Linked DNA regions of Pelodiscus sinensis. The protein of the gene in region 1 interacts with the protein of each later gene in a pairwise test. Links are inferred from orthologs where the notes say so. Each region holds a gene or a part of one and is shown on either strand. Other genes may lie near its edges.

Region 1 (3,743 bases):
GAAGAACAGCTCTTGCGTGAAAGCCTCTTGCGCAAAAACAGAGCCTCGTTAATTATGCAAATGATGCGCTGCAGTATTCCACACTTCGCCTCATTTGCTTCATTATGCAAAGTCTGGGCAGCTGCATCAACTGAGCAAAACTGCATCTGGGGCTACCCCCTGGGTACGTGGCAGCTCTGACCACCTGAGTGTGAATGCGGCAACCTTCAGTCTGATCATATGCTAGTTCCCCGCTGCAAGGGGTTAGTGTGTTTCACTCTCTCCCCTCACATTGCTGCTATAAAATATATATGGCGTTCCATAGCACAAATCACCGGTGTGACAGGCAGGGTTTGAACAAAAGGAAGTTAGAAATAGACATTCCACTCGGAGAGCTGCATAGATCATTTTTTTCTGACAACAGGGGTAAATCTCTGTGCACGTTACGCTCCTCTCCCACAAGATTCTCAGTGTCTCTGATTTCTCACGCTGTGCATTCAGGTCGGAGAGATGTATCCTCCTGTGATACCTTGCCAGTGCAATCTATTACTGTGCAGATGAAAACTAAACAGATGAGCAGAGACCAGGCTTATAGCCTGCACCACAGTCTCAACTCCTTGCCTGATCTCCTTGCTACAAGAGCAGATCTTCTAACCAAAGCCCAGAAGCAAACTTCCCCAGTACTCACACAGTGACATAGGGCCATGGCACAGTGCCCTTCTGGGTGGCTGGCAGGTTGGTGGCACCATGCAGAGTGACGGAGATGGATTCCTTCCCAGTGTGCGCCAGGTGCCAGTGATTGGTTTCTGAAGTTCGTGCAGCCTCATCCGCTCCACAGGGTGACTCCACTACCTGCCAGGCACAAGCAGAAGGAACTTCAGCATTTGTTCTTCCCTGATGCAGATCTTCTGCCTCCCACCAATCCACATCTCCAGCTCTGTTCTAAAGGCTCAGGTGTGTACCCTCTGCAAACAAGCTGAGCTTGCATATTTTGCATCTACTTGGAGAGAGGCGTCTTTCCAATGGATGTAAATGTGTCCACTGGCTGAGTCCCAGAGCAAAAGTAAATTCATAGATGTCTCCTCTTCTGTCCTTATTCACATGTAACTCCCATGGGCAGAGCGCTGCATGCATACAAAATTTGTATCCACGTCCGCATTTGTAACTGCAAAATGAGCCGTGGATGCAGATACAGGTGACCCCCGACTGACGACCCACCGCATTTACAGCCATTTCTTTCCATGTAAGATAGCTCCTAAAACCTCCCAATTTACTTCTACAGCTCTCATTTACGACGGCGTATGACGCAGACTCCACGTGTCATCCCAAAACAGGAAACGTACACGGTCAGTCAGACTCGCCGTCTGCATCAGCTGCTTGAACTGCGCCACACCGGTCTTCACTTTTTAGTTATTTTTGTGAATTATTTGAACTATTTTGTTTCATTTTCCTCCATTTCTGTAGTCAACTTTGGCATTTTTAGGGTATGAAATGGGTTTCCAGGAATGGAACTGCCATTTATAAGATTGCGCCTATGGGAAATAAGGATTCAACTTATGACAGCTTCACTTACGGCAGTTCTTCAGAAACCAAGTAGGTCATAAGTGCAGAGTCGCCTGTACCCATGGATACAAAGCAGATATGTGCAGATTTGCAGGACTCTACCTCCAGGAGTAATACATGCAGAGGAAGAGGAGTTCACAACCCAGGAAAAGGAGCTGTGAGAGCCCACAGCTTCCCCAACAATGCCCTGCCAATGTGCCTCAGCCAAGCCAGCAGAGTAGACTCCTCCAGGCAGGAGGAATCAAAGTTTGTACGGCCCTGTCATCTTCTCTGCTGAAACTGCCAACCAGGGAGCTAATCAGCAGAGAGCAGGAGGGAGGCGGAGATGAATGCAAAGGAATGTGGAGTTAGAAGGTAGAACATGAGCGGGTGGGAAGTTTGGAGTGCAGGAAGGAGACTGAGGTGTACAGATAGTTCGGATTAGGAAGCCTAATCCGAACTATCTAGTCCGTGCCGTGTGTAGCCGCGCGGCATGGGGTTCGCACTAGCCGGCTTTTAAAAATGGCGGCGCCGGCTTTATGCTAATGAAGCCCGGGAAATTCAAATCCCGGGCTTCATTAGCAAGTTCGGTATGCATACATTACCCCCCTAGTTCAAACTAGGGGGGTAGTGTAGACATACCCAGAAAAGGTAGGGAATGGAGGAGAAAGGGTAGAGAATGGATAGAAGACGGTGAGGTTGAAAGAGGGAACATATGGGCTGGCAGATGAATTGAGAGCAGGAGACTGGGTGGGAGAGAGAAGCAGGGAGGGAAGGGGGACAGGGCAATAATGAAGTGGGGGCAGTGTAGGCATACACAGGCAGCACGCTCGCACCAGGAGTCGGGGAGATTAACCAGCGCCTGCATCTCTGGAGATGCACAGAAGGTTGAAGCACACACAATTTGGGCCCAGTAAAGGCACAAAACTTAGGAAGTAACCAGCCCTCTCTCCCCCACAAGGAATTATCAATATGGATGAATGTTGATGCCTGATGGGCAGGCGCCTCCCTACCTTGGGAGCTTTTCCCATGTTTGACTTCAGCCAGAGGGCAGCGCTCTAGGCCCCTCCTGTGCCCCTGGAACCCACTGCTCCCTCTGTGCAGGGAGCTGGTGAGAGGGGTGAGGAGCAGGCAGCCAGCCAGAGGCAGCACAGGAGAAAGGAGCTCTACCCCTACCAGGGGAGGCTGGAAGTGCAAGGCCTAAACAAAAAGCACCCCGCTCAGCTCAGTGCTGAGAGTCTGGCTGAGGAGGGAACAGGCTGGGGTGGCGACCCCCCTGCACATCCCCATGGCAATGGGCCTGTACTCTTGTGCCTTGAGCACACACGCTGCCTCTGCTCAGGCCTCGGGAAGAAATGCTCTCAGACCTCCGGTGGGCACCCTGGTTACTGCCTCCACGAGCAGCGCAGGTGCCCCGTGGCGATTGGCCGGTGAGGGTTCTGAGTTGTGTGACAGCACAGTGAAAGGGCCCGGGCAGGGCTCGGGCTTGGTTGCCCTCACAACACACAGGCCGTCAGGCAGGGCCTGTCTACACAACACCCCACCTGCTTCAAACCTGGCTCGGTGACACTAAGAAGATAAGAACATAAGAACGGCCATACTGGGTCAGTATGGTGGAGGGGGGCAGGTCCTAGAGGGCTGAGGGCAGTGAGAAGGGCAGGAGTCAGAACAGCAGAGGAGGATGAGGGGTTGGGGGGCAGCAGGCACCAGGGGAGCTGATGGAGCAAAGGGGGGAGACATGGCAGCAGAGGGAAAAGGTCGAGGTTCATATGATATTTATTAATAACCTGGGTGCCACGGTGGCACATGCAAACAAGCCACATGACCTCAGTACTGGTGCAAAACACAAAATTCATTCTGCTCATGGGAGGAAACTCTTAGAGGGGACACTTCCTCCAGCCTCTCCGCCTCCGAGTTAATGTGACCCAAATTGGGGTAATGCAACTGCAGAATAGTTGCATGAGGGGGGTTTGGTGGGAGCCAAACTAATCCCTATTGGTAGGAAGATGGTGGGTCACGTGACACCTTTTACATCTGGTCATGAGCCCATCTTGCCCCGAGAGTGTTACCTCCAGAGGTCTGGCTAATGGGAGTCAGGGGTGTGGCTAATGGGGGTCAAAATTCTTTGGGTGCACACCCTAATGAAATGTGCTGCACACGCCTATGGTTACAACCCTATGAGCAGCGCCGCTTGGCGCCTGCTTCTAACATGAGGCACGACA
Region 2 (3,743 bases), on another chromosome or scaffold:
GCTCCTTCCCCCAAGGCCTCTCCCTCTCTCTACCTCTTCCCTTCCTTACACCCTTCTCCTTTGGTTACTGGGTGGATCACCTATCCCCACCTCAGCTGTACTCCCTCTCCTTTAAGCTATGGCAGGAGCTGCTGCAGCTTTCAAGGATCCTGCCTGCAGAGAGGAGGTGGCCTTGGCTAAGCCAAGGCTGGCAGGGGCTAATGAGCTGGCGTCTCCCCCCACCCTGCAATAACTGGACTATTAGTATCCAGTCAGTACATCTAGCCAGACACTGCCAAGTCCCCTTTTCAACTGGCTTTCTGGTCAAAAAACCAAGCACCTGGCACCCCTAAAAGGCACCCAAATGAAGTCAACCCCTGGACAGGTGGCAACCCAATCAGAGACAGCGCCGCTCCTCAAGCGATTCCACCCCAGAAAGGGAGGAGCGAGGCAGGAGACACATGGGGCTTCCCGGTCAAACTCTGCAGCCGCAGCTTGTCAATATTCGCTTTGTCCTCCTGGCTAGCAGCTGGGGACTGGCCACAGAGGGGCCTCCACAGCCCCCCCAGACCACCAAGCCACCGCTCCCCGGCCCCCTGAATGCCCGGGCCCCGCTGTGCTCTGCAGAGGGGCAGGCAGAAAAAGATGGACCAGGGCCTGCTGGGCCAAGCCCCTCTGGGGGTCGTGGGGGCCAGGCCTGCCTGTGCAGCCACACAGCATGCTGGGACATGCCCCTCTCTGTGGGGGGGCCCCTGCAAAGCATGCCGGGACATGCCCCTCTCTGTGTGGGGGGCCCTGCAAAGCATGCCGGGACATGCCCCTCTCTGTGTGGGGGGCCCTGCAAAGCATGCCGGGACATGCCCCTCTCTGTGGGGGGGCCCCTGCAAAGCATGCCGGGACATGCCCCTCTCTGTGTGGGGGGCCCTGCAAAGCATGCCGGGACATGCCCCTCTCTGTGGGGGGGCCCCTGCAAAGCATGCCGGGACATGCCCCTCTCTGTGTGGGGGGCCCTGCAAAGCATGCCGGGACATGCCCCTCTCTGTGTGGGGGGCCCTGCAAAGCATGCCGGGACATGCCCCTCTCTGTGTGGGGGGCCCTGCAAAGCATGCCGGGACATGCCCCTCTCTGTGGGGGGGGCCCTGCAAAGCATGCCGGGACATGCCCCTCTCTGTGGGGGGGCCCCTGCAAAGCATGCTGGGACATGCCCCTCTCTGTGGGGGGGGGGGGGCTGCAAAGCATGCCGGGACATGCCCCTCTCTGTGTGTGGGGGGGCTGCAAAGCATGCCGGGACATGCCCCTCCGTGAGGCCGCAGGGCATGCTGGGACGTACCTCGCCCCTGTGCCGCGGGGCATGCTGGGAGGGGACGCGCCTCCCCGCTCCCAAGCCCCAGGTGCGGGGCCCGGCTCGAGACCCACCTGCTCCCGCGCTCCGCGGCGAAGCGGTCACATGACCTGGACGCGTCACTTCCCCTTGGCCCCGCGGCGGGTCACTTGAATTCGCCACTTCCGGCGGGCAGGTCACATGACCAGAGACGGCCGGGCGCCCTCCCGCGTCACGTGACCGCGATGCTGGCGGCGCTGCGCCGGGGGCCGGGGCTGCTGGCGGCCGCGGGGAGACTCTGGCGCGGGGCGCGCGGGCGGGGCCGGGGGGCGGGGCCCCTGCGGGCGCGGAGCGGGCCCGGCCCCGCGGGAGTCCTGGCCGCCCTGGCAGGTGAGACCCGAGGGGGGGGGGGCTAGTTATGGGGGCGGGGGGCCAGGGGGGGCTAGTTATGGGGGGGTGGGGGGGGCTAGTTATGGGGGCGGGGGGCCAGGGGGGGCTAGTTATGGGAGCGGGGGGCCGGGGGGGGCTAGTTATGGGGGGGCCGGGGGGGCTAGTTATGGGAGCGGGGGGCTGGGGGGGCTAGTTATGGGGGGGTGGGGGGGGCTAGTTATGGGGGCGGGGGGCCAGGGGGGGCTAGTTATGGGAGCGGGGGGCCGGGGGGGGCTAGTTATGGGGGGGTGGGGGGGGCTAGTTATGGGGGGGCCGGGGGGGCTAGTTATGGGAGCGGGGGGCTGGGGGGGCTAGTTATGGGGGGTCGGGGGGGGCTAGTTATGGGGGCGGGGGGCCGGGGGAAAGGCTGTTGGGGTCAGCTAGCAGGGAGCTGTCGGGGCCCCGGGACTGGCGGGGGGGTTCATGGAGGGGAGGGGCCTGGCAGGCAGGTGGGAGGAGACCGACACTGAGGCGGCTATTGGGGGGTAGCTGTGCTTGGCCTGTGGGAAGGGGGGGAGGGGAACCGACAGGGCTAGGAGGGGGCAGGCCATGAGGTGGAAGTCTGGGGGGGGGGCGTTGTTTGGGCAGGACTCTGGGGAATGGGAAACCTCTTTGCATGGGGGTGAGGCAGAAATGGGGGGAGGGGCTGTTACAAGTAAGTGGGAGAGGGCGGCAGCACTGGGTGGGTGACTCCAACAAGCTGAGCTGAACCTGCTGTTTGAAAGGCGAATCCCCATCCTGGGCCCAGAAGAACAAAACCCCTTCAGCTGTCTCCACACAGCAGCGCTCCTAATACAGGAGGCCCCCGACTTGTGACCGCCCGAATTCCGACCCCCCACGTTCCAACCCCCTTCACTTAGAACCGTTTTTTTAAGGGCAGAAGGGGCCGGAAACCCGATTTACGTCCTCGGCCTGCATTTGTGACCGGGCACGGTGCCTATCCTAAATGAGCATTCGAGTTACGACGCCCCCAACTTATGACACTTCCCAAGGAACCAATCACGTCGGAAGTTGGGGGCCTCCTGTACATCCCGTCAAATGTTTCTCTTCCCAGCTTTCTCCTTGTTCTCTAAAAATGCTGAGGAAGAGGAAAGGACCCGGGAAGGGGAGAGTGCAGGAACTGAAGACTCCATTATATTCCTTTTGAAAAAAGCCAAGGTGAGCTCCTGAGCCCCTGGAGAACTGCTAATTGTGTGTGCTGGGCCCCAACAGCTTTACTCAGTGACCAGGACTGCCAGCTTGTTACACAATTAACTTGTTACATACAGTGATGGCAGGGAAAGAAGCATGCTGGTGTGGTGGGGGAATTGCTGGGAACGTCCACTGCGACAGCTAATGGGAGGCCTGTTGTGAGATGAATTCAGGGCTCTCGGCCACCCATCCAGGTGGATGAGCCCATCCAGACTCGGTACGTAAGAGGCTAACTTATAAGCGTGAGCTACACGTGGCTCCAGCTCCTGGGGAGTGACCGCCCCGCGTTGCTGCCTCTGTGTCCCACGGAGCGGGGTAGCAGACAGGAGCCAGTGCGTGCTGGGAACTGTCTTTTAAGCCAGCTCCCTGCGCAGGCCAGCTCCAGCGGAGCTGGTTACTGCCCCTTGTGTAATCATTTAACCACTCACATTTTCAGCAGCTCCACGGTTAGCAAATGACTCTCATTTTAACATCGTTAGTCTAGATGCACGAGCAAGGGAGGGTGCCCAAGCATCAGCATTGAGGAGTCTTTAAGGCAGCCAGAGCTGACCTGCTTTTCCCAAGTCACTGATCAGGGCAGCATCTGGCAACGTGTGCTGGTCTCTCTCTGCTCCTGTGAGCAGCATCAGGCCAGGTGTGGTCACCTGCCCGGTGGTGCCCTTTCTTGGCCTGCCACTACGCTGGGCACACCTCCACCTGCCGGGGTCTCTAATCATCCTAGATTGTCCCTCCTCTCCCCTTCCAGCTCAGCATCATGAAGGGCGAGCTTGAGGAAGCAGAGCGGATTCTGCATCAAGCTGCTAGACTCTCCCATCAGTCGGAC
Region 3 (3,743 bases), on another chromosome or scaffold:
TTACATCCTTACTGGGTAGTCACTTATTTTTTGTTCAGGTCCAAATTTCTCAGTCAAGGCATAGCGAGCTCACATGCCCCAAGCAACAGTTACAAGCGCTGGCTTTCTTAAGAACGAAGGACTAAATATCATCGGATACGTTTTTATTACAAAACAACGGACACGAGCAGGCGATGCGCGCACGTCACGGCACTTCCCCACGAAGACCCAGGCGCCTCAGCGGAACGACGCGGCCCGCGTCTCCCCGTGGGGCCCAGAGTACGTCATACTGTCACGAAGTCCCAACGCGCCCCCGGGAGTGGCCCGACACGAGGCGGCCGAGCGCGCGTCCCCCTGCGGGGGCTCAGTTGACGCGGCAGGCGCGGATCATGAGGAGCTGGAGCAGGATGAAGACGGGCGACATGATGAGCCCGTACCACAGCTCGGGGGTCTGCTCCACCAGCTTCTGGCACAGCAGCATCTCGAAGACGAACTTGAGGCTGAGCAGGGTGAGGACCCAGAAGAGGCGCAGCACCGCCAGGCGCTTCTCGCCGTCCTGGAAGAGGCGCACGGACACGATGGCGGTGAAGTAGGTGCTGAGCCCGTCGGCGGCGAAGAAGGGCCCGAAGACCCCCCACCAGGAGAGCGCGGCGACCCCGTCCAGCTTCAGCACGAGCAGCAGCGAGAAGAGCGCGAGCGCCCCCGCCTGCAGCAGCAGCTCGAAGGTGGCGAAGCCCAGCCACTGCACCAGCTCCCGCAGCGAGAACAGCATGGCGGACCCGGCCCGGCCCGGCGCGCGCGGATGCCGTCACCGGAAGCGGAAGGAGCGCGCGGACGGCCGCACAGGTAGGCCGGGCGGGCGGCCGGGGCTAGGGGGCGCGCGGGGGGCGGGGCCTAGAGGGGACCCGGCAGCGCAGGTGAACGGGGGAGGTGGAGCCCAGCAGAGCAGGTGACGGGGGGGGGGGCGCATCCTGGTGTGGCCCCGGGGGGGGCAGGCAGGTTGCAGTGGGGCAGGTGAGGCCCTGGGGGGGCAGGCAGGGTGCAGTGGGGCAGGTGAGGCCCTGGGGGGCAGGCAGGTTGCAGTGGGGCAGGTGAGGCCCTGGGGGGCAGGCAGGTTGCAGTGGGGCAGGTGAGGCCCTGGGGGGCAGGCGGGGCCCAGTGGGGCAGGTGAGGCCCTGGGGGGCAGGCAGGGTGCAGTGGGGCAGGTGAGGCCCTGGGGGGCAGGCGGGGCCCAGTGGGGCAGGTGAGGCCCTGGGGGGCAGGCAGGTTGCAGTGGGGCAGGTGAGGCCCTGGGGGGCAGGCAGGGTGCAGTGGGGCAGGTGAGGCCCTGGGGGGCAGGCAGGGTGCAGTGGGGCAGGCGGGGCCCAGTGGGGCAGGTGAGGCCCTGGGGGGCAGGCAGGGTGCAGTGGGGCAGGTGAGGCCCCGGGGGGCAGGCGGGGCCCAGTGGGGCAGGTGAGGCCCCGGGGGGCAGGCGGGGCCCAGTGGGGCAGGTGAGGCCCTGGGGGGCAGGCAGGGTGCAGTGGGGCAGGTGAGGCCCTGGGGGGCAGGCAGGGTGCAGTGGGGCAGGTGAGGCCCTGGGGGGCAGGCAGGGTGCAGTGGGGCAGGCGGGGCCCAGTGGGGCAGGTGAGGCCCTGGGGGGCAGGCAGGGTGCAGTGGGGCAGGTGACCGGGAGCTGCAGCTCCTCTGTGCTTTATTGATTAGTTTTGCCTCCTCCAGATGGCGGAACGGAAGCTCCTCGTTCTCTTTGGCAGCCAGACGGGAACAGCTCAGGATACGGCCGAGAGAATTGGCAGGGAAGCCAAGCGGCGCCACTTTCACTGCAGGGTGGAGGCCCTGGACAGTTACCCTGTGGTGAGTGGGGGGCGGGGGAAGGGGGTAAAATGGATGTTGAGGCAGAGAAGAGCTCTGTGCAGATTCTGTATTGATCCCTCCCCACTGAGTTCCTTCCAGGGTGTGCTGGATGGCACCCTGCACCTGGGCCCTGGCTTGCATGCTGTCCCTCAGAGTCACCTACCTGGCACGCCTGCTGTAGTCTGCTGTAAAAGACTGAGAACCAGGGAAGGAGTAAAACATGCTTTTAGCTGCGTTCAAGCAAACTGGTGTCCCGGTGAGTTCAGTAGAGCCATTTTCTATAAGACAAAGAGCATGAGCATGTCCTGCAGAAATGAGAGCTGGGGTTTCTGTGGCCAGAATCAGATAAAACAAGGCACTTGCATCGTTCCCACAAAACACAAATGGGTCTTGCTAACACCTGTTGTCAGTAGGGCTGTCAATTAATGAAGGGCAGAATTAATGTGTTAATTTTTTTAATGTGAGTTAATCACAGACGTTTCTGCAATGCTGCCCCTTTGAAACTCTGCCACCACGTTTCAAAGGGGCAGCACAAAGTGGAGCTGGGGTCAGCTGGAGTCTCTAGCTGACCCCAAGCTCCATGCACGCTGCCCCTTTGAAATGCTGCTGTCATGTTTCAAAGGGGGAGTCCGGGGTCAGCTAGAGTCTTATAACAGCACAATTAATCGTGATTATTTTTTTAATCGCTTGACAGCCCTAGTTGTCAGTGCTGCGTGGGGGTGGGGGATGAGATGCTCTGACAAAGTGGGCCAGGCCCTTCTGAGGTCAGGGCTGTACAGATGTAAACCCCAGATCCTGCTGACGAGACGACCCATTCTGTGCCCACTTGCCTGTCTGTCCCAGAATGCCTCCCTGCTGGCACCTGTGCTCTGTGGCTGCACGAAGGGTTTGGGCAGTGCTGGCAGCAGATTTGTTGGACGGCTGGAGACACTAGACTGGTCAGTGCAGGTCACGCAGGAGAAAAGCGTTACTGCCCAATGGCCCATTGGGGCCTAGGAGATACGGGGGAGGCAGAGAACCCCAGGCCTCTGTACTTATTTCCTCAAGTTTTGTTTGTTGCTATTACTGTGAATCATTATCAGTGTTGTTAATCATACCCTCTGTCTGGGCTCTGGGCCATGCGTGCCATCCTGCTCTCTGCTGGTTGCTGATCCCACTCCTGTTAATTACCATTGCTGGGAGGGCTGGTCTGATCTGTTGCTCTGTTATAAATCCCCTCGCGGTCACCAGGACAGTTGGATGCGTGAGGCTGTGCTGTAGCTGGATGGAGAGAGTTCAGTGTGGCACCGCCACACGCACCTTTCCAAGCTAGGGGCATTCCTCGTCAGCTACCCGCAGGGGTCCCTTGCTGGAGAGCTGTGCAGGGTGCCCCTTGAGCTGCTAGGGGAAGGGCTGGTGGAACTGGCTTTCTGCCCCAGCTCTCTGGAGGAGAAGGCCCTCACGCTGCTTTCTCTAGGTGAACGGCAGTGAGCATCCACGCCCTGCACAGCGTGCCGGGGTTGTGACCTGCACCGGCATGTAGCGGCGACATGCGCATTACTGTGGCCAAACAGCCAGGGCTGTGTGTGCATGGGAAGGGTGTCTGGGCTGGGGGTAGCAGCATGCGTGCGGGGGTAGGGAGTGTATGTGTTGTACTGCTGTGGCTGGAGGGTGGGGGCATGCTGTGGGGTGAGGGGCTGTGCCGTGTCCTCTTGCGGGCAGCGTGTGGGTTTGGTTGTGTGGGTGAGGGGGGTGTGGGGCTGTGGCTATGTGGGGGGCTGTGGTGTGCGAGGGCAGTGTGTTGGGGCTGTGGTGTGGGGATGGGCTGTGTGCCGTTGTGGGGGGCAGCAGTGTCTGCAGCTGGGGCTGTGAAGGGAGTGATACTGGGGCTGGCTGTGCAGGTGGGGGAGGCTGTGTGGGGAGGCTTTACCAGT

The links.
Region 2: the proteins of CCDC33 (region 1) and TTC19 interact in a two-hybrid assay, tested with the Homo sapiens proteins (2 studies listed by BioGRID and IntAct). The two-hybrid records come from large-scale screens. The link is inferred for Pelodiscus sinensis from reciprocal best matches to the Homo sapiens genes CCDC33 and TTC19.
Region 3: the proteins of CCDC33 (region 1) and NDOR1 interact in a two-hybrid assay, tested with the Homo sapiens proteins (2 studies listed by BioGRID and IntAct). The two-hybrid records come from large-scale screens. The link is inferred for Pelodiscus sinensis from reciprocal best matches to the Homo sapiens genes CCDC33 and NDOR1.

Annotation. Positions count from the first base shown.
Region 1 is NC_134724.1:39,170,511-39,174,253, reverse strand, and holds the start of CCDC33 (coiled-coil domain-containing protein 33), read right to left. Parts: upstream 2,902-3,743; 5' UTR 2,553-2,901; coding exon 2,535-2,552; intron 832-2,534; coding exon 668-831; intron 1-667.
Region 2 is NC_134731.1:3,239,713-3,243,455, forward strand, and holds the start of TTC19 (tetratricopeptide repeat protein 19, mitochondrial), read left to right. Parts: upstream 1-1,509; 5' UTR 1,510-1,545; coding exon 1,546-1,690; intron 1,691-2,783; coding exon 2,784-2,887; intron 2,888-3,665; coding exon 3,666-3,743. Other genes in the region: ZSWIM7 (zinc finger SWIM domain-containing protein 7), read right to left, coding at 1,310-1,332. UniProt on the Homo sapiens protein: Required for the preservation of the structural and functional integrity of mitochondrial respiratory complex III by allowing the physiological turnover of the Rieske protein UQCRFS1.
Region 3 is NC_134732.1:2,440,116-2,443,858, forward strand, and holds the start of NDOR1 (NADPH-dependent diflavin oxidoreductase 1), read left to right. Parts: upstream 1-837; 5' UTR 838-928; intron 929-1,692; exon of another isoform or gene 1,693-1,695; coding exon 1,696-1,830; intron 1,831-1,929; exon of another isoform or gene 1,930-2,050; coding exon of another isoform or gene 2,051-2,086; intron 2,087-3,743. Other genes in the region: TMEM203 (transmembrane protein 203), read right to left, coding at 344-751. UniProt on the Homo sapiens protein: NADPH-dependent reductase which is a central component of the cytosolic iron-sulfur (Fe-S) protein assembly (CIA) machinery.